Linked DNA regions of Elephas maximus indicus. The protein of the gene in region 2 purifies or fractionates together with the protein of the main gene of each other region. This does not show direct contact. Links are inferred from orthologs where the notes say so. Each region holds a gene or a part of one and is shown on either strand. Other genes may lie near its edges.

Region 1 (7,463 bases), on a different chromosome or scaffold from region 2:
AAAACTTGTTAGCTGACTGTTTCTCAAATTTGAGTAGCATATGGATCAATTTTTAAAGGAAAAATAATCCTGAAAGCTCTCCAATTACCGTTGAGTTGATTCTGACCCCAGGGAGACCCCTTATGTGTCAAAGTACACTTCTGCTCCACAGGGTTTTCATCAGCTGATTTTTTTGGAAGTAGATTGCTGGACCTTTCTTCTGAGGGTCTTCAGGGTAGACTTGAACCTCCAACCTTTCTTCTGAGGCTCTTCAGGGTAGACTTGAATCTCCAACCTTTCTTCTGAGGCTCTTCAGGGTAGACTTGAACCTCCAACCTTTCTTCTGAGGCTCTTCAGGGTAGACTTGAACCTCTAACCTTTCTTCTGAGGCTCTTCAGGGTAGACTTGAACCTCCAACCTTTCTTCTGAGGCTCTTCAGGGTAGACTTGAACCTCCAACCTTTCTTCTGAGGCTCTTCAGGGTAGACTTGAACCTCCAACCTTTCTTCTGAGGCTCTTCAGGGTGGACTTGAACCTCCAACCTTTCTTCTGAGGCTCTTCAGGGTGGACTTGAACCTCCAACCTTTCTTCTGAGGCTCTTCAGGGTGGACTTGAACCTCCAACCTTTCTTCTGAGGCTCTTCAGGGTGGACTTGAACCTCCAACCTTTCTTCTGAGGCTCTTCAGGGTGGACTTGAACCTCCAACCTTTCTTCTGAGGCTCTTCAGGGTGGACTTGAACCTCCAACCTTTCTTCTGAGGCTCTTCAGGGTGGACTTGAACCTCCAACCTTTCTTCTGAGGCTCTTCAGGGTGGACTTGAACCTCCAACCTTTCTTCTGAGGCTCTTCAGGGTGGACTTGAACCTCCAACCTTTCTTCTGAGGCTCTTCAGGGTAGACTTGAACCTCCCAACCTTTCTTCTGAGGCTCTTCAGGGTAGACTTGAACCTCTAACCTTTCTTTGAGGCTCTTCAGGGTAGATTTGAACCTCCAACCTTTCTGTTAGCAGCTAAGTGCATTCACCATTCGCACTACCCAGGGACTCCTGAAACAGTCAGATTATTTTTATTACGATGTTACTTAAATTTACAAATACAAACTGGGCTATATAAAGTCCTTTTATGTATAGTTCTTATACAACTAAAAAAAGCAAAGCAGATTAAATACACATGAAACTACAAAAAGAATACCGTCCATATTAGTAACATTATAGTAATTTGACAGATGATGCTGTTTTGCTGGAATTAAACCATCCTTTGTGTAGTGACTATGGTATTGCCTGTCAAAACTCAGTATCTTTCGAGTTCAACATGCCTGTACCACCAAGTGACTTCTGATATCTCAATTTTCTCATGACTTTTCTTCCTTAAAACTACTGAGACAGTGCAGTCCCATGATGTCATTTGGCTTTCATTTTGTGTAGGAAAGCATCATTTTCATTTTAAATCCAGCACTGTGTTTTCTCAATATCCTGGAACAATAATAAGCAGCGATGAAACACACATGCAAATGCAGGGACTGAAGCTGTGTGGTAATACTAAGTTATAAAAGTGGACATCCAAATAATCCAGAATATGTTTATGCAAATCTAAAAAACTTATCAAAGTGAAAACAAAATTAAACCCTAGAATACATCCCCAGACCTAATTTGAGAAATACGGTTCAGGTTCATTGGTTCCCAAACTTTCACTATTGCCAAACACCCTATCTACTGTTTACCTTCAGGAATTCTGTTTTAAAAAAGAAGTCACCTAAATTGCATTTATTAATACTTTACATTTTTATTATTCAGACACATAAAATTACTATTATAGAGCTTTTGATCAGCATATGTAGTTATCTCTTAAATTCCAGTCCAAAATCACAACAGCAAAAAAAGACAGGACCTTCTAGCTATTTTGTACTGCCCTTACAAGGGGAAGGAAACCCTGGTGGTATAATGGGTAAGTGCTACAGCTGCTAACCAAAAGGTCGGCAGTTTGAATTCACCAGGCGCTCCCTGGAAACTCTGTGGGGCAGTTCTACACGCTCTGAGTTGGAATTGACTCGACAGCAGTGGGTTTGGGTTTACGACAGCAAATGAAAACTTTACATTAGGTTTTGTAACACACAGACCATCCGCCCCCCTCACGCCTCCATCCCGTTGCTGCCATTGAGGACTCCTGGAGGCGTACCGAGGCAAACCAAAAAAACCCAAACCCGTTGCTGTCGAATGGATTCCAACTCATGGCGACCCCAAAGAACAGAGTAGAACTGCCCCATAGGGCTTCCAAGGAGTGCCTGGTGGATTCAAACTGCGGACCTTTTGGTTAGCAGCTGTAGCTCTTAACCACTCCACCGCCAGGGTTTCCTTACGGAGGCCAGTGTAGGCTCTTTTTGTACAAGGAAATTAGCCACTCCACCCAATTTGGAATGATTAAGGCTTGTCCTGGTTGCGCTTGCTTGTTTTACTTACACCGTGCTAAAAAAGATAGGATAAATATAACAGAAGGCATCATTCCAGTACCAAGACTGAAAAGAAACACAAAAACAAGAGAGCAGCATGTTTTTAACAGCTTGCGTGGATAAAGTGGAAAAAATATTGACTGGTGAGTTTAGACAGCACTGTTCATTTTCTCTCTCCGCCTGCGTTATTTGTCTTTTGGAGCAGAAGCCAGATACACTAATTCTGGCGGGGAGGCGCCAAGTCCTTCTTCCCCTAGGCCCGGGGCCCTCTCTTGGGCCGGCCCTATGCCTCGGAGGGCACGGTCGGCCTCGGAGGGCACGGTAGGCCTCGGAGGGCACAGTCGGCCTCGGAGCGCACGGTCGGCCTCGGAGGGCACGGTCGGCCTCGGAGGGCACGGTCGGCCTCGGAGGGCACGGTCGGCCTCGGAGCGCACGGTCGGCCTCGGAGGGCACGGTCGGCCTCGGAGCGCACGGTCGGCCTCGGAGCGCACGGTCGGCCTCGGAGGGCACGGTCGGCCTCGGAGCGCACGGTAGCCCTCGGAGGGCACGGTCGGCCTCGGAGGGCACGGTAGCCCTCGGAGGGCACGGTCGGCCTCGGAGGGCACGGTAGCCCTCGGAGGGCACGGTCGGCCTCGGAGGGCACGGTAGCCCTCGGAGGGCACGGTCGGCCTCGGAGCGCACGGTAGCCCTCGGAGGGCACGGTCGGCCTCGGAGCGCACGGTAGCCCTCGGAGGGCACGGTCGGCCTCGGAGCGCACGGTAGGCCTCGGAGCGCACGGTAGCCCTCGGAGGGCACGGTCGGCCTCGGAGGGCACGGTCGGCCTCGGAGCGCACGGTAGCCCTCGGAGGGCACGGTCGGCCTCGGAGCGCACGGTCGGCCTCGGAGGGCACGGTCGGCCTCGGAGCGCACGGTCGGCCTCGGAGCGCACGGTCGGCCTCGGAGCGCACGGTCGGCCTCGGAGGGCACGGTCGGCCTCGGAGCGCACGGTAGCCCTCGGAGGGCACGGTCGGCCGCGGAGGGCACGGTCGGCCTCGGAGCGCACGGTAGCCCTCGGAGGGCACGGTCGGCCTCGGAGCGCACGGTCGGCCTCGGAGGGCACGGTCGGCCTCGGAGCGCACGGTAGCCCTCGGAGGGCACGGTCGGCCTCGGAGGGCACGGTAGCCCTCGGAGGGCACGGTCGGCCTCGGAGGGCACGGTCGGCCTCGGAGGGCACGGTCGGCCTCGGAGCGCACGGTCGGCCTCGGAGGGCACGGTCGGCCTCGGAGCGCACGGTAGCCCTCGGAGGGCACGGTCGGCCTCGGAGCGCACGGTCGGCCTCGGAGGGCACGGTCGGCCTCGGAGCGCACGGTAGCCCTCGGAGGGCACGGTCGGCCTCGGAGGGCACGGTAGCCCTCGGAGGGCACGGTCGGCCTCGGAGGGCACGGTCGGCCTCGGAGGGCACGGTCGGCCTCGGAGCGCACGGTCGGCCTCGGAGGGCACGGTTGGCCTCGGAGGGCACGGTCGGCCTCGGAGCGCACGGTGCGGATCGCTCAGAGGGGTAGGTCCCTGGTCACTTCAGATCACAAGTAGGGTGAATCCCTGCCCCTGCTTCTTTCGGCTGTAATGGCACTCTCAGCCCAACCTTGCCACAACTGGGGTCGGCCGGAGACCTCCACCATCTGAAGAGCGACTGGCTTCCCCGCCTCCACTGTGCACGCGCGCGGGCCTTAGCCCCGCCTCCCTGGACTTGGGGCGTGGCTTGTTATGGGAGGGCGTGGCTTGTCGCGGGAGGGCTGGGCTTGGTGCGGGAGGGCGTGGCTTGGTGCGGGGCGGCGTGCTTGGCGCGGGGCGAGGAAGGGCCTGGACACGGAGCTGGCGGCGGCGACCCGCGGAAGAAGGGAAAACATGGCGGGCGCGGTGGGGTCCGTCAGCGGCTTGGGGGCAGCGGGCGGAGACCTCCACCACCTGAAGAGCGACTCGCTTCCCCGCCTCCACTGAGCCCGCGCGAGCCTTAGCCCCGCCTCCCTGGCCGCGGGGCGTGGCTTGGTGCGGGTGGGCGTGGTTTGGCGCGGGGCGAGGAGGGGCCTGGACACTGAGCTGGCGGCGGCGACCCGCGGAAGAAGGGAAAACATGGCGGGCGCGGCGGGGCCCGGTAGCGGCTCGGGGGCAGCGGGCGGAGACGGAGACGATTCGCTCTACCCGATCGCGGTTTTAATCGACGAGCTCCGCAATGAGGACGTGCAGGTACTGGCTCGGGCTGCGAAGCTGAGGTGGGCCCGGCCGGGCGCGTGGTAGGGAAGCCGGAGGCCGGCGCCGCTGTGGGGGAGGCCCGGACGTTGAGAAAGCCGGGTTTGGAGCAGAAGCTTGAGGGGGAGCAGAGAAGAGACCGGCGAGAGGTTGCGGCGTCCCCGCCCGACCCTCCCGGGGGCGTCTCCGATACCCTTCCTCAAGGACGTCGGCCCGGCCCCCGCCGCATCCGGGGCTGCTGTCGGAGAATCGGCTCCCAGCCTGGGCGCCCCTTCCGGGCGGTGCGGCGGGCGGGCGGTGCGGCGGGCGGGCGGTGCGGCGGGCGGGCGGTGCGGCGGGGGCCGGGGGCCGCCGTCCTCGGTGACCCGCCGTCCTCGGTGACCCGCCGTCCTCGGTGACCCGCCGTCCTCGGTGACCCGCCAGCGGCAGAGGCCGGAGCGGGGGCGGGCGCAGGACGCCGGCGGCCCTCCGACGTGCTGGTGAGATACCTGCGGATAGAAGGAGGGCTGGTGGCCGATAACCTAGGTGAGTCCGGGCATCACCCCTGATGGGCCTGTCTTTGAAAAAAGTCCGAGGTTGTATTCAGCCGTTTCACCTGCTTCGCTGCTGCCAGAGTTCTCATTTGTAAAAGTTATATCACTTCCTGGATACTGTGTTCTCTTTTATTCCTTTCTTTTCTGGGCTCTTCAGGCGGTTTCTCCTAGGAAATCTTCCTCTGCCGAATGATGCTGTGAACGGCACCTGAGGTTCCTCACAGGATAAAATCTAAGTTAAGGTTTCCTTTTTTCTTACCTGTATCTTCTTGTACTCACCTGTTTGCCGCCTGTTTGTCTTTTGGTCTAAATTGCAACCGTTTATTTTGTTCTGTCCACTTTCTTTGTTATAGCTCCGTCTTAACAGTATTAAGAAGTTATCAACAATTGCTTTAGCACTTGGAGTAGAAAGAACTAGAACTGAACTGCTGCCATTCCTTACTGGTATGTGAATCTTTGAATTTTTTTTTTTAAGTCTTTGTTTAAAACTATTTTCCAGTGGTTTTCAAAACTTTGACTTTTTCTTAGGGTTCGTTAACGGCAGTATTATTAAATACAAAACTGAGCCTAGTGCTTTCTATGCAAAAGAAGCAGAACAAAGTATAATATTGTGTCCAGACGTATTCAAACATTAACTATTTAACTAATAGGAAAATACTCGCTACGGGAGTATGAATTTCTAATTCATTTGTAAAACAGATCTAGGACTAGGAGACCCTGAGGAAAGGAGACCCTGTTAGGATTGTGACTTGGCCATCTTAAAAAAAAAAAATCCCCCAAATCCCATGTGATCAAGTCGATTTCGACTCATAGCAACCCTATAGGACAGAGTAGAGCTGCCGCATATGGTTTCCAAGGCTGTAAATCTTTATTGAATCAGCCTGCCACATCTTTCTCCTGCAGAGTGGCTGGGTGGGTTTGAACTATCAACCTTTCGATTTGCAGCTGAGTGTTTAACCACTGTGTTTAACCACTGCAGCACCAGAGCTCCTTGATAGCTACATATTGAATCTTTTCCTAGTTTTTTGTGAGTGTCCAGCTGGGCCAGCTCTCCTTATTGATGAGTACCCTATTGCCTTATGTAGATACAATCTATGATGAAGATGAGGTACTGCTAGCTCTTGCTGAGCAGCTGGGAAATTTTACTGGCCTTGTGGGAGGTCCTGACTTTGCCCACTGTCTGCTGGTAAGTACTTATATGCTGCTTTCCCTCCTTGTAGGACTTCTGAAGTATAATTGTTTGGCGATAGCCCCATTCCAGCACTGTGTGTAGTCTCTTAGGAAATTTAGATTATGATCTTTTTATGGGCAGATAGTCATAATGTTAGCTAGCCATCGAGAGAACAAATAATGTAGGCGTTCTGAACTCAGTTAACCCTTTTTTTCCTCACTGTTAATACAACTCCTACCACTTTCCTGCCTCTATAACCTTACTAGTTTAGAGGTGGGAAGAAAAAGGATTTGATTTTTTTTTAAAACGTAATCACAGTATATGCTCATTTTTTCTTTTGTTGTGGTAAAGTGCACATAAACTTCACGATTTTAACCATTTTAAGATGTACAATTTAGTGGTATTTAGTGCATTCAGAATGTTGTGACACTATTACCACTGTCTAGTTCTAGAACATTTTCATTATCCCAAATGGAAACCTCATACCCATTAAGAGACACCCTTCTTTCTGTTCTCCCTCCAGTCCGTGGCAACCACTAACCTGCTTTCTATGAATTTGTCTATTCTAGATATTTCATAGAAATGGAATCATACAATATGTGGTGTTTTGTGACTGGCTTCTTTCACTTAACATAATTTTTTCAAGGTTCAGCATGTTGTAGTGTGTATCAGTACTTCATTCCTTATTATGGCTAAATAATGTTGTTTTATGGATATATATGCCATCTTTTGTTTCTCCATCAGTTACTGAACTTTTGGGTTGTTTCCACCTTGTGACTGTTGACAATGCTGCTATGAACATTCGTGTACAAGTTTTTACTTCAACACTTTTTTTCAATTCTTTGGGGTATATACATAGGAGTGGAATTGCTGGATGATTCTGTATGTAACTTTTTGAGGAACTACCAAACCGTTTTCCATGGCAGCTGCAAACATTTTACATTCCCGCCAGTAGTGTATAAGGTTTCAACTTTCTTCATATTTTTTCCAATGCTCCTTGTTTTCTTTTTAAATTATAGCCATCCTACTGGATATGACATGGTATCTGTTGTAATTTTGATTTGCATTTCTTGATTGTTTTTGTTTATTTTTTTCCCCTGAAATTGGTAGTC
Region 2 (7,396 bases):
AAGCTGACACACAACTCCAACCACCACACCTTGTCAGGGTTCCATATTCCTTATTTGCGTGGCCCCGCCCAATCATTGTGTGGAAGCCACAATGACTATGGCTAGAAGGGCTTTATTAAGTAATTTCCTGTACCTGAATCCCCATCCCCACCAAAGCACACACACATAAACCAAAAAATAGCAAACACTCCATTATCTAAATAATCTATCAGCATTTCACCATTTTTTAATTTTAAACTGGTTTACTGATAGATAAATCAACATTTTGACGAGAGTTCTCTGTTCTTAAAAAGGGAACCCCATTTTTGCATTTTTGTGTCACTTAGGCATTATTAATTATAAAATGAAAAGATCAAGAAATCAGCAACACTGAGGTCTGAGGCTTAATGTTTAAGATTATTTTAACTCTACTGAATTAAAGTTCTGAGTAGGGAATGAAAAAGGTAAAAAGAACAACCACTGAGCCCGTAGTATTTGCCAGGAGTCTGTTGTTTTCATTTGATCTTGTGAACTCTATTACAATTAAAAAAAAAAAAAAATTACAATAGCAGCTATCATTTTTTAGTGTATTATGTCAGGCACTGTGTTAGGGGATTTACATGTCTTCTCTCATTTAATCTTCACAGTAACTCCATAAAGTAAATGTTGCTCCCATATTAAAAATCATGAGAAGTCCTGGTGGCGCAGTGGTTAAAGTGATCAACTGTTAACCAAAAGGTTGGTGGTTCAAAACCAACAGTGGCTCTGTGGGAGAAAGATGTGACAGTGTGTTTCTGTAGAGATTTACAGCCTTAGAAACCCTACAGGTTTGATATGTTGGAATCGACTTGACAGTAGTGGGCTATATTAAAAATCAGAATACTGAGGCTGGAAAAAAGTTGAACCATTTGCCCTTGTTTCCAGATTGGGAAAATTGTAACATCAGGAAGAAAATTCAGGTTTGACTGAATGCAAGTGCCGTGTCCTTTCCAATCATTCATTTTTTAACTTTTTTTTTTTTTTTTAATTATAAAGTTATTCTTGCTGTTGTGAATGAGAGGGCACATGGAGAGGGGCTCCTGGGTGCTTGCAATGCTCCATGTCCTGATCTGGGTAGTGGTTACAGTTTGTGACAGTTCACTGAAGTGTTCACTTAACATTTGTCAAGCTTTCTGTTACACTTCCTATCTTATCTAGTGCTGCTATAACAGAAATATCTCAAATGGGTGGCTTTAACAAACAAATCTATGTTTTCACAGTTTGAGAGGCGAGAAGTCTCAGTTCAGGGTGCTGGCTTTAGGAGAAGGCTTTCTCTGTCAAGAAAGATCCTTGTCTCTTCTGAGCTTCTACTCCTTGGTGATCTTCACGTGGCTTGGTATCTATCTTCCACCATCTCTGCTTGGTCACTTGCTTTTTTAATCTGTATCTCCAAAGAGATTGATTTAAGACACGCCCTACAGTAATACTGTATCATTAACATAAGAAAACCCATTCCCAAACGGGATTATAACCACAGGTATACCAAGCCAAACCTGCTGCTGACGAGTCCATTCATAGCGACCCTATAGGACAGAGTAGAACTGTAGCACTTAACCACTGTGCCACCAAGGTTATAGGGATTACAATTTACGACACATATTTTTGGGGAATGCAATTCAATCCATAACACCTCCACAAAACGTTTATTTAAAAAAGGTAATTCATACTGAATACAGAAAATTCGAAAAGCACAGATAAACACAAACAAGAAAGAAAAAAAGAAAATTATTATTCCAAACTAATGGTTTCAGAAGTTGATTAGGTATACCTGTTGCCTTTGAGTAGATTCTCACTCACAGTGACCCTATAGGACAGAGTAGAACTGCCCCATCGGGTTTGCAAGGCTGTAAAACTACAGAAGTAGCCTGCCACATCTTTCTCCAGCAAGTGACTGGTGGGTTGGAACTGCCAGCCTTTTTGGTTGCAGCTGAGCTTTTAAGCATTGCACCACTACGGCCTCCCTGCTTCAGTATAACACCAAATCCACTGCTGTCAAGTCAATTTCAACTCGCAGTCCCTATACGACAGGGGAGAACTGCCCCACAGAGTTTCCAAGGAGCAGCTGGTGGATTTGAACTGCCAACCTTTTGGTTAGCAGCTATAGCACTTAACTACTACACCACCAGACTATCCTTCCTCCGTATAGGAGGAAATCATTCTCCTAAAACAATTCAAGGCAAAAGAACTGCAAGGGAAGACCTTTTTTTAAAAAAGTATTTTTTTTTTTTTGGTTAAAAAGAAATCGTATTATAGAAGTTTTTGGAAAATGAGAAAAGTAAAGTAAATTTTCTTTGTAATTCTACCTTAATATAATCACTTCTAATATTTTGGTACATTGAGTGAATGTCTCTTGCAAAAAGAAATGCTCATAATATTACAGAATTGATTTTGTGTGTACATAAGTCCTTAAAAAGCAAAAAGCTATAATAGTATTGTAAGCAATGTCACTACACTATGAGTTTAAACAGTGTTTTTATATATCTGTGATAGTCCAGGTTATGTTTAAATTTAATTATGTGTTATAGTCTGTTATTTATTGATTTAAAGGATTGTTGGACATGTTAGAGAAAAAGATAATTTTTAACATACAAAGTTCATAAAAACCACAAGATCGCTTAAATCACCCAGATGACAAAGCATGCTGTTATTCATAATTGTCCCCTTTGTGTTCTGGTAGGTCTAATAAGGAACACAAGAGGAGGCAATGAGCTAATGAAAAGATCACTAGAATAGCAGTCAGGAAATCTGGGTTTTACTTTTGGCTGTGCCACTTATTAAAGGCCTCATTGTGGAAAAGTCTCCTAGCCTCTCTGGGCTTTGGTTTCTTGGGCTGTAAAATGAGAGGATTAGCCTCTATCTCAAAGGACACTAAAAGTCAAAATAATTTATGACAGGGAATTTGGCCAGGGTTGGATGCATCTTTTATCATAATAAAGCAAAAACATGCAATAACTGTGGGAAGAGAGCTTGCCATGCCTTATTCGCAACCAGAATAAATACAATGTGTTTCCTGTCCTTCCCCCAAGGATTCATGGGAAGGGGTGGAGGACAGGATAGGGACAGGATGTCCTTCCCTTACATGTCACTCACCAGCCTATATCTTTACATTTTTTCATGGTCATCAGATCTCATATCGCAGACTTTCATCCCACAAAAGAATTAGAGATAACTTGTTAGAGTGACAGTACCGGGGCTCAATTACATTTTCATTTGTTAACAATTTTCGTTGTAGTGTGAATTTGTAGTCACATGACAGAGACTTTGGCGAAGAAAAACATTAAAAAGAAACTTTTAAAAGGAGAGGAACTCGGTGTACCTTTGGTAGGCTAATACTGTTGCCAGTTCGCAGGTGAATGGTGGAAGAAATTGGGAATGGGACAAAGGAAAAAAGAGAAGTGCCTGGATACCTAAAACAGCTTTAGGGAGCAGAAAGGGAATTTTGTTCTTTCAGGTAGTGTAGCTTTGACGTACTGTGAGAGTTGGTTATACATATGTCAATCTTTCTTTGATAATAGGAACTATGTCTTATTTATCTCTACATCCTCGGTGTGGGATATAACTAGTAATCTAGAATTTGTTGAATTGAGTAAAAAACCTGCGGGATAAGGTTAAGAAAAGCAGAACAAGATACCAGAAGCCTTGGATATCTGTAACTTTTACAGGACTTCAGTAGTTTTTCAGATGAGGTGTCAACAAACCAGGATTTGGAAAAGAGAAGCAGAAATTTGCTGCGCTGAGTACAGGAGGGAGGTGGCGAGAGCTTCTTAAAAGTGAAAAAGGATCAGGAAACAGGTCTGAACTTCCGAGTGAAAAAGAGGCAAAGCGACGGAGGTATGCAGATTGCCAGAGCTGAGGAGAGTCTAGGGTCAGAGAACCACCCAAGTCGGAGCCGAAGGGAACGGACTGGTCAGCTGGGTGGAGAACACCCGTCCAGGCGCGATCACGGTAGTTCGCTTTTGAGCTTGTTTCTTAACAGAACTACCAGGAAGCCCTAAAAGATGTGCAACTCTGGTATTTTTGGCGTGATAACTTCCGCGTGTGTATGTGTGTATGAAACAGGCAACGCCGCCCTAGAACTTCCGCATGCGACTGAGGCTGGAGCGCTGCCTACCGGCGCCCAACGCCGGCCCGAGAGGAAAGCGCCACTCCCCGTCCCGGCGGCCCCCATCTCCGCTGGCGGGACTCAGCCACACCCCGGCCCAGCCGCAGCCGGAAAGGCGGCCTCGCCGCGCTCGCCCTGCGCCGCGCTCCGCGACTACGTTTCCCAGCAAGCCCCGCGCCGCCCGCGCGCCGCAGTTGACCCATTTCCCGGCCCGTCACGGGCTCGGCGGCCCCGCGCCTAGGCGGCTGCTCTCTGCTGACGGGTGTGGGCGGGGAGCGGCGGAGGGAGGAGGAGGCGCTGCTGGCCGCCGCTGTTGCCTCCGGTGCTGGGCGCTTGGGCAGCTCCCCGGCTTCTGCGGCCGCCATGGACGAGCAGGCGGGTCCTGGCGTCTTCTTCAGCAACAACCACCCGGGCGCCGGTGGTGCCAAGGGGCTCGGGCCTCTGGCGGAGGCTGCCGTGGCCGGCGACGGGGCGGCCGCGGCGGGGGCAGCCCGAGCCCAGTACAGCCTCCCAGGAATCCTGCACTTCCTGCAGCACGAGTGGGCCCGCTTCGAGGTGGAGAGAGCCCAGTGGGAGGTGGAGCGGGCGGAGCTGCAGGTAAAGACCCTCCCGGCCTGGCCCACTTCATCCCGCCTCTTCGCTCCTTACCGCCCCGCCCCGGCCCCCTCCTTCCCCCGGCCCTCGCCTGTCCTCTCCGCCTTGCTCCCGCCCATCCCACCCGAACCTCGTCCCGGTCCTCCCCTCACCTTTGCCTTTCGCTGACCCCCGTTCCTTGACCTCAGTACCCACTCCCGCCCCTGGTGCGTTGTTTACCCTCCCCGCTGCTTTTCGCCTGCTGCTCCTCACTCATAACTCTCAGTCTCATTCGAACTCTCTTACTATCCTGCATCTTAGGTCATCCCTTTCAGTTTACTAATTGAGCTGACAGTAGTTTTGAGAGACCTCGAGCAAATCATCTATCCTGGTGTGTCCCATCCTGGGCTTAGGGATCTTCCCAGCAAAGGGTATTGGCACTTGGCTCCGCTCTCTGAAAAGAAGGGGATCAAAAAAGACAACAAGTTGTGTCATTAAGGCCTTGACTTCAGGCAAAAGTGTTATTAGAAATACTAACTTTTTTTAGATATGTAAATGTTTCTAGTCCACCCCCTCCTCCCTCCCCCGCATTTCTTTGAGATAGTTCACATTCATGGATTTTGAAGGAAGGATTTAGATGATCACAGTCAGATAGATGGTGGCTCAGAGATGGTTCCTGTTCTCAGAATCTAAAACTTTCCAAGGGCTAATTTTATTTGCATTGTTTTGTGAGATATCCCATAACTTTAAAAAGAACTACAGGGGCTTAAAAGTTGGTTACATTGCTTTTTGATGCATAGTCTGCAAGATAAGTATATCCAGGGAGGAGCGGTGGTGGCTTTTATAGTTGAATGAAAGTGAGGCGGATACTTTACAGGCCATTTTGAGTTGGTGAGTAGGCTTTCAGTGGCTGATCTTGAAAATTCCAAGACATACACAAATTTCACAAGGAGTTTAAAGAATTGTGAATGGCTGTACCTTTCAATTTTATAGGCTAATCCTGTCTGTTTACAAAACATGAATCTAGTTTTGGTTGGGGAAACACTTGAAGTTCACATGCCACCTAGTGTGTCACTTTGTTTGGTAACGTGCATTTTCTTTGGCACTTAAAGAAAAGGAGAAATCTATTAAATAGAACCATGTGCTGGAATGGTCTCCTTTGGTGTAGTGGAAGTGGCTTTGAGAAGAGGAGACAGGTTCTAGTACGAGCTGTGCTTACTACTGTGACCTTGAGGAAATCCTTTAACCACTTTTGGCTTCCTTTTCATAATTTATTCAGAGTATGTTTATTGAGCGCTGGCTATGTGATTCTAGGCCCAGGGATTAACAAGACCTACAAAGCCTCTACCTTCATGGAGTTTGCCTTTAATCAGGAGGCAGATGGGGGGGGTGGGGGGAGAGGGGCAAGAAGATGGCCTGTAGTGGCAACTACTATGAGGAAAAATAATTGGGATACAGAAATAGAGTGTGATGGGGTAGCTGTTTTAGATGGGGTGGTCTGGGAAGACTTCTCAGAGGAGATGACATATAAGCAGTTAAGTGAAGCAAGAGTGACTCCATTTCTACAATTCTGCTTTTACAGTTTCTACGGTTATATGTTTATATATTCTTTGTCAGCTTTTTCATCCCTACAGTATTTGGTCTTTTCGTGTTTGTTATTTTTATAATAATGAGTCTGACGGTATAAGTAATCAGCAGATTTGATTGCTTATACCATCACTTTTATTAGCAGTACAATCTGTAAATAAACCTGTGGATTTCAGACTTCAGGGGTGATTTAACTTTGATGTTGAAGAAAATAATTGTATGTAGCTGCTTAAATTTTAATTTATTTTTCAGTTTAGGGAATGTGAGATAAGTCAGACTAGTTCGGTCAGAAGCAATCAAGAAAACAATACTTTCCTTCCTACATGTAGAAGTTAGGGAACTTCCAACCCACCCCATCCTTTCCCCTCTCTCCTCCCCATTCCCCATGTCTACACTTTTTATCTGTGCTGTAGTCAATCTTTAAAAAAAAAAAAGGAGCCTTGGTTATACAGTGGTTAAGAGCTCTGCTGCTAATCAAAAGGTTGACAATTCAAATCTACCAGCTGCTCTTTGGAAACCCGATGGTTCTATGTTCTAGAGGATTGGTTGGAATTTACTCCACGGCAATGGGTTTTTTTTTTTTTTTGGTTTTGGTGGTCAATCTTAAAATTTAGACACAGACACAGAGACATATGTTTCTGGGTTATTTATGTCAAATGTTGAACTTTAGGTAAGTTTCCCCATAATCCCCATCATATTAAGGGTACAACTTTTACAGTATCTTCTGGTTCGTGGTCAGAGAACAGAAGTCTACTTAAATATCAAATTAAATTAAGCTTCTGCAGAGAAAATTTTAAACAGTGTCATTTTTTCAAACAGTATGTATTTGTAGGGAGGGGGGAGGGTTGGCAGGAATCTGTGGCCTGAGTCTCCCTTATTAGTATAATTGAAAGTGTTTCTTTCTTCAATTACCAACGTCACTAAATTTGAACATTTCCCTTTTGCCATTGGAATTTTCCTGGAAAAACAATAGGCTGTAAAAGAGTTGAATGAATTGCGATGAAATATGAAGCAGCTGATGTCTTTGTTTTAATTTTTAAATCTCTTCTCAAGCCATTAACATCAAAGTCAACAAAAATCACTTTAAGTCTAATTTGTCCCTTCAGGAACCTGTCA
Region 3 (6,875 bases), on a different chromosome or scaffold from region 2:
ATCTGGAGGAGAGATGAGGGGGCAGAGGGGGTCAGAAGCTGGCACAGTGCACACAAAAAGAGAGAGTGGAGGGAAGGAGTGTGCTGTGTAATTAAGGGGAGAGCAATTAGGAGTACATAGCAAGGTGTATATATATTTTTGTATGAGAGACTGACTTGATTTGTAAACTTTCACTTAAAGCACAATAAAAATTAAAAAAAAAAAAAAAAGGTACCATCTTTATAATAAAACATCTCATGCCTGGAATCTGCAACTCCTAACTGGTCTTCCTGCTTCTACTCTTGTCCCCTTAAAAATGTACTCTCCCCCAAACAGCCAGAATGATCTTTAAAAACCACATAATTCAGACTCAAACCTTAAAACTTTTCATAGCTTCCCATTTGTTATGGATTGAATTGTGTCCCCCCAAAATACGTGTTGTAAATCCTAACTTCTATGCCTGTGATTATAATCCCATTCAGGAACTGGCTGTCTTTGCTATATTCATGAGGCAGGATTAGTGTAGAATGGATCTTGAGTCAGTCTCTTTTGAGATATAAAAAGAGACTAAACAATCGAGCAGAGAAAAAGACGGAGGAAAGACTGATGCCAAGCCACAGGGAGATCTCCAAGGAATCAGGAAACAGGAGCTGAAGAGAGGAGAACCCACCCCTCCCCAGAGATGACAAGAAAGCCTACCATTAGGGTCAGCACCCTGAATTCAGACTTCTAGCCTCCTAAACTCTGAGAAAATAAATTTTTTGTTAAAGCTACCCAATTGTAGTATTTCTGTTATAACAGCACTAAACGACTAAGACACCACTGCAGTGAAAATACAGTTTAATCTGCTTACCTTAATCTACAAAGGCAATGATCTGTCCTCTCCCTACTCCACCATTCTCACCACACCACTCACCCCTTTGCCCACTGAGCTCCAGGTACACAGGCCTTTCTGTTCCACAGACTCACCAAGTTCACTTCCAGCCCAGCTGTTTCCTCTGTTAGGAAGGCTCTCCCTGGCATTTCACAGAGACAGTTTGGTTTCCTCCTATCTTTCACATCTCACTTTCTTAAGCGTCATCTCCTCATAGAAGTCTTAATAGGCACCCAGTCCCTCACTCTGACATCCTCTTTACATTTTCTCCATGACACATGTTTATTTATTGTTTCAGCCCATTTCAACTTCCTGAGAGAGTCCGGGGATGGAGAACACAATAAGCAAGGTAAGCACAGGCTTACTTCTGCATACTTACTAATCTGTAGTGACCAATTTCACATGGGTTTCATGGTGAAATCCGTATGAAATTGGTCACTAAAACAACACAAAAAACCCACCACCCTTCCGGGGTCTTAGGTGCTAACAAGTGGCCATCTAAGATGCATCAATTAGTCTCAAACCACCTGGAACAAAGGAGAATGAAGAACAAAGACAAGGAAATTATGAGCCCAAGAGACAGAAAGGGCCACATAAACTGGACACTACATTAGCCTGAGACCAGAAGAACTAGATGGTGCTTGGCTACAGCCGATGATTGCCCTGACAGGGAACAGAACAGAGAAACCAAGAGAACAGGTGAGCAGTGGGATGCAGACCCCAAATTCTTATAAAAAGACCAGACTTAATCATCTGACTGAGACTAGAAGGACCCTGGAGGTCATGGTCCCCAGACCTTCTGTTAGCCCAAGACAGGAAAGATTCCCAAAACCAACTCTTCAGACAGGGATTGGACTGGACTATGGGATAGAAAATGATACTGGTGAGGAAATGTGCTTCTTGGATCAAGTAGACACATGAGACTATGTTGGCATCTCCTGTCTGAAGTGGAGATAATAGGGCAGAGGGGGTCAGAAGGTGGCTGAATGGACATGAAAGAGAGAGCGGAGAAAAGCAGTGTGCTGTCTCATTACGGGGAGAGCAACTATCAGTATATAGCAAAGTGTATATAAATTTTCATATGAGAGACTGACTTGATTTGCAAACTTTCACTTAAAGCACACACACACACAAAAAAAACCACCACCGTTGAGTCGCTCCCGACTCATAGAGGCCCTATAGGACAGAGTAGAACTGCCCCACAGTTTCCAAGAAGCGTCTAGTGGATTTGAACTGCCAACCTTTTGGTTAGCAACCGTAGCACTTTAACCACTAAGCCACCAGGATTTCCGAAATTGGTCACTGCAGATTAATAAATGCGCCCAGTAAGCACAGTGCTTACCTCCCTATTGGACACTCCGCCCCTGAGAGAGTCCCACGCAGTACCCGCACATAGTAAGGGATGGATAAACGTTTGTTGAATAAACGGATGAGAACAATTTGGAGGCTACCGCACAAACACAGACTTAATTACCTGTGCCAAAACTCACGAGAGGGCCACACGGTCCCCCAACCCCGTTCTTTCCTGGCTACAGCCAAGAGCTCGAGATTCCGGGGATTCCGGTTGGTGAACTCCGGGGCAACGGCTTCATTATCCACAGGGTCCACTTCAGGCTTCACCACTGCTTTGGAACTGGTTGAGAGGGCTGCAAACCCAAACTCTAAAAAATGGACACAACCATACTTACCTAAGCCTAATATTAACAAATCAGGAATATGATCTGACCTCTATCCCCAATCGCTCCCCCAATCTTCCCGCCCTGTTAGAAGAACGAAATACGTTTGATCAATGAATCCTTAATCTTTCACTATTTTCATCATAATGGTATTAGCTTGATTACTTTTCGAAGGTGGATACAGAGTAAAAAATGCGATTTGCATATCTACGTTTATTGTGAAGACTCTGGGGAGTGATCTGAGAAAAATGGGGCAAAATTAGTTACCGGGGTTTCTGCAAACCGACAAAGCCCAGAACCGCGACCGAAGCGCCATCGCTGAGGGACCTCAAGCAAAGCCTCAGAAAAGCCTCGCCTCCTGCTCCTTGCAGGCGTCTCAGCGGTCCGCGGCCGCAGCCATATCCACTTGAGAGGTTGAGGCCGGTGGAGGTCATCAATTCTCAACGTGAGCCTCTCTCGCCCCCGGAACTAACAAACCTCTGCAGTTGAGTGGTCGAGAGGGCCATCTGTCATGTCAGTTTCTCCAATCACCGCTTACGTTTAGACGCACGCAGGCATGTAACGGACCAACCATTTCGCAGGAACGCATTAGTGGGTGGGGCACTATGTGAGGGAAACGCTTCATGTGTCTTCAGCATTAACATTCCATCTCCGTTCCCGGCTTGCGAAGCTGGTTGCGGTCGGGCCAAGGAGCTTCCAGCTTCGAGGTAGCCCCTAACTTCACATTCCCACATTTGGGAGCTTTAGTCGCAAAGCTTAGACCAACTATTGTCGGCTCCGCACACATCCCACCTGGGCACTGAGGAAATGAGGCCGGGCAAGATTACAATTCCCTGGTTTAAAACGGGTGGTTGCCTTCCTCTAGCTACAGTTTCTCCCGTAATACGTATAAGCCTTGTAGGATGCCTGTCGCGTTCTACCGAGGTTCAGGCCCCAAGGCCATAACTTAAGCGCTCTAGAACGAAACCTGGCCGACCTGCCCCGTGCTCCCTGAGCCCCATCGACAAGGGAGCAGAACAAAAAAGAGAGCACGAGGCTAGGACGTAGGATGGCCCCCTGCTGCCACACCCCCACTCCAAACTCCGCCTTGCCGGCCATCTTTTCTAGAAGCCGCTAGAATGTCCCAACTCGCATGCGCAACCGTGCCGCGGGTGAGCGCTCACCCGAGCACCTCCTCCCTCCAGAGGCCCAGGAATCTGACTTCCGCTCCCCGACCTTCGCGCCCTTCTCATCCGCACTCTAATTGGACAAAAATGCTGACACGCCTTTGTGTACGCCCTCTTCTTGTTCCCCACTTCCGGCATATTAACCCTCCTCTTCCCCCGAGCCCTTCTCTTTTTCCCGGCCTGCCCCGCGGCCGGGCCGGGGGAGCTGGGAAGCGCGGCGGGCGCTGTTACCCAGCAGTCCCCGCGGCGTTGGTCGGGTAGGTGCACGCCGTCGCCGCTGTCTGCCCAGGGAACGAGAGACTAGTCTCCCGCGGTGTGAGAGGAACGTGTGCCCTGCTGCGAGGATGGAGGGACCGTTGTCCGTGTTCGGGGACCGCAGCACCGGGGAGGCGATCCGCTCCCAGAACGGTAAGGGCGGCGAGGCCTGGTCGAGCCGAGCCTCAGCCCTGGGCCCGCGGCTGCCCTGCTCTCATCTCGCCGCCTCCCCTACCCCCAGAAAAGAGGCGTTGGGGCTTCTTTGGCGGGGTCCCGTCGGCTGTCGTCGCCGCTTTTGGGCGGGCAGCAGCGCCCTCTCGCCGAAGGGGAAGCATCCTGGAGAGAGCAGCACGCCGTGAGAGCTGCGCCGGCTGGGCGGGGAGGCCGGGGCCGGGAAAGCGGGAAGGAGCGTCTTCCTCAGCCCTGGGGCTCGCCTTTACAGATAAACAAATGGCCGCAGGGCATAGGTGGCACGCCGGTTGTAGCGCCCCGGCTCTCGTCTGCAGCGGATGCCGGTCCCCGACCTCCAGATCCGGTCGTTACCTCGCTTATCGCTGATGGCGTCCCGTAATAAAATCAGCTGGCGAAGTTGGAATTGTATGTTAGTGTTCTTCGTCCCGAAATAATTAGGGAAGGCGATTCCTGGGTGACTAGTAAACGTGGATATGCTTTATGTTAGTCAAAGCTGTTGTTGCTGTTCCTGAGCTTGTTTTGAAAACGTTTTTGTAGGTTCCTAATTTTTTGGGCGAATTTGAAGTAAAATCACTGTTTTTTCATTCCATTACAGCTTTTTTAGTTCCTGGTAAAGAGACTGCTAATGTAATTTTTCCTGCCCTAAAAGGTGTCAGGATCTGAAGGAAAGGGTGATGTATAGTTACAGTGTGTGGAGTGGTAGAACATAAAACTGACCAGTAAATTGCTTTTTTAATTCTAGAAGGGAGCAAAAGGATTATTCTTTTAAAGATTTTGCATCCCTTTTATAAGTATATCCAAAATGAATTTTCCGAGATTCCCCCACCCATCAGGTTTTTAACAGAGAAGATTCGTGAATTTGGGGAAGTTTAGTTTACTCGGGCTGAAATGATTGCTTTTGGAGTTGTAGGTTTTTCTAATTGTGCTTCTTTTTCCATTGATTGACCACAGTTATGGCTGCAGCTTCTATTGCCAATATCGTAAAAAGTTCTCTTGGTCCAGTTGGCTTGGATAAAATGTTGGTGGATGACATTGGCGTAAGTACGACTATTGTGTTCATGTTATTGTGAAGAAAAATAAGAGTTCTTAAAGTTTTGCTGCATCAATTTTTTTTATCAAAACCTTGGTATTTGAAGATGTAAAAGGTGAGCATGTATTATAATGGGGCTGTGTTAATTTGAAACCAAACTTGTTTCGGTCGAGTTGATTCTGACTCATAGCAACCCTATAGGACAGAGTAGAACTAACTGCCCCGTAGAGTTTCCAAGGAGCACCTGGTGAATTCGAACTGCCGACCTTTTGGTTAGCAGCTGTAGCACTTAACCACTCCACCCTGAGGGTTTCCTGTATTAATTTAGGGGCTATCTGTTTTCTCCCCCCGTTATTAGGATGTAACCATCACTAACGATGGTGCAACTATTCTGAAGTTACTGGAGGTAGAACATCCTGCAGCTAAGGTTCTTTGTGAGCTGGCCGATCTTCAGGACAAAGAAGTTGGAGATGGAACTACTTCGGTGGTAGGTACTCGTCTAGTAGGGTGGCAAAACATCTGCATTTTTAATGTTGGTTTTTGAAAGTTTTGACAGTATTCATACATCACACAAGGGTTTTATCTGTCCCCCCAACCTTCTTCCTGTATCTTTTTTTTTTCCCATTTGACTACCACTTTAGATCTTAATAGTAGATCTTAGCGGTTATGCTTGTGGGATAGATTAAAATTGCCGTGATCTGAAGAGGGAGGATTTTTTGTGTCCTTCTTCTATATGAAATGGCTGTACAGAAAATTAGTGACATTTATGAACTTTGTCTTTATGATTACCTAGTGAGAAAAATGTTACTTATGTATTTTTCAAGTTTATATTTTAGAGGTTGACAGTCTCAGGATTTTAAAATGGAAATGTGAGAAGTTAATGTACCACAGTATGACGGTGATAGAAAAAATCAGTAGACGCGATTAATAAGGTGATGTAAATAAACTTCTCGAAGACCATCCAGCACACTGGTGTAGTAGAAACACTGTTGTTTGATGAGGAGGATATTAATTCTAGCAAAATAAGAGGTAGTTTATGGGAGGGGACAGGGGAGAGTTAGTATTTATGGATTAATCTTTTAACCCTGAAAGAATAATCTCTTGAAATAATGAAAATAGTGTTTTATCTGAGTAATTTGTTTTATGGTGATGTCTCTAACAACATAGTTTACAAAAATCAAGTAGACAGGATTTTTTTTTTTTTTTTTACATGAAGGTTTACAGAACAAACTAGTTTCTCATTAAACAGCACACATAGTGTATTATGACATTGGTTAAAAACCCCACAAATGGCAACACTCTTCCTTCTCAACGTCGGGTTCCCCGTTACCAGCTTTCCTGTTACCTCCTGCCCTCTAGTCCTTGCCCCTGGGCCTAAGTGCCCCTTCAGTCTTGTTCTGTTTTATGGGCCTGTGCAGTCTTTGCCTGGAGGTTAAATCTGAGGAGTAACTACATTACTGAGCTGAAAGGATTTCCGGGGGCCGTACTCAGGGTTTCTCCAGTCTGTCAGGCCAGATCAGGCTTTTTTTTTGTTGTTGTTGTTGTTCTTTAAGTGAAAGTTTACAAATCAAGCTAGTCTTTCATACAAAAATTTATATGCACCATGCTATATACTCGTAGTTGCTGTCCTCCTAATGAGACAGCAACTCCTTTCCAGTCCCTATTTTCACTGACAGGATTTTTTTTTTAAGTTTCTGGTAATT

The links. Proteins that work in one complex are often made in the same cells at the same time.
Region 1: the proteins of STRN (region 2) and PPP2R1B purify together in Homo sapiens (affinity purification with mass spectrometry; 5 studies listed by BioGRID and IntAct, with this or other methods). This does not show direct contact. The link is inferred for Elephas maximus indicus from reciprocal best matches to the Homo sapiens genes STRN and PPP2R1B.
Region 3: the proteins of STRN (region 2) and TCP1 purify together in Homo sapiens (affinity purification with mass spectrometry; 3 studies listed by BioGRID and IntAct, with this or other methods). This does not show direct contact. The link is inferred for Elephas maximus indicus from reciprocal best matches to the Homo sapiens genes STRN and TCP1.

What each region holds. Positions count from the first base shown.
Region 1 is NC_064825.1:7,146,442-7,153,904, forward strand, and holds the start of PPP2R1B (serine/threonine-protein phosphatase 2A 65 kDa regulatory subunit A beta isoform), read left to right. Parts: upstream 1-4,454; 5' UTR 4,455-4,530; coding exon 4,531-4,644; intron 4,645-5,533; coding exon 5,534-5,624; intron 5,625-6,265; coding exon 6,266-6,366; intron 6,367-7,463. UniProt on the Homo sapiens protein: The PR65 subunit of protein phosphatase 2A serves as a scaffolding molecule to coordinate the assembly of the catalytic subunit and a variable regulatory B subunit.
Region 2 is NC_064844.1:27,388,976-27,396,371, forward strand, and holds the start of STRN (striatin), read left to right. Parts: upstream 1-4,388; 5' UTR 4,389-4,483; coding exon 4,484-4,717; intron 4,718-7,396. UniProt on the Homo sapiens protein: Calmodulin-binding scaffolding protein which is the center of the striatin-interacting phosphatase and kinase (STRIPAK) complexes.
Region 3 is NC_064819.1:232,164,025-232,170,899, reverse strand, and holds the start of TCP1 (T-complex protein 1 subunit alpha), read left to right. Parts: upstream 1-3,866; 5' UTR 3,867-4,039; coding exon 4,040-4,103; intron 4,104-5,093; coding exon 5,094-5,179; intron 5,180-5,530; coding exon 5,531-5,659; intron 5,660-5,789; exon of another isoform or gene 5,790-5,928; intron 5,929-6,875. Other genes in the region: MRPL18 (39S ribosomal protein L18, mitochondrial), read right to left, coding at 2,328-2,514, 2,797-2,845. UniProt on the Homo sapiens protein: Component of the chaperonin-containing T-complex (TRiC), a molecular chaperone complex that assists the folding of actin, tubulin and other proteins upon ATP hydrolysis.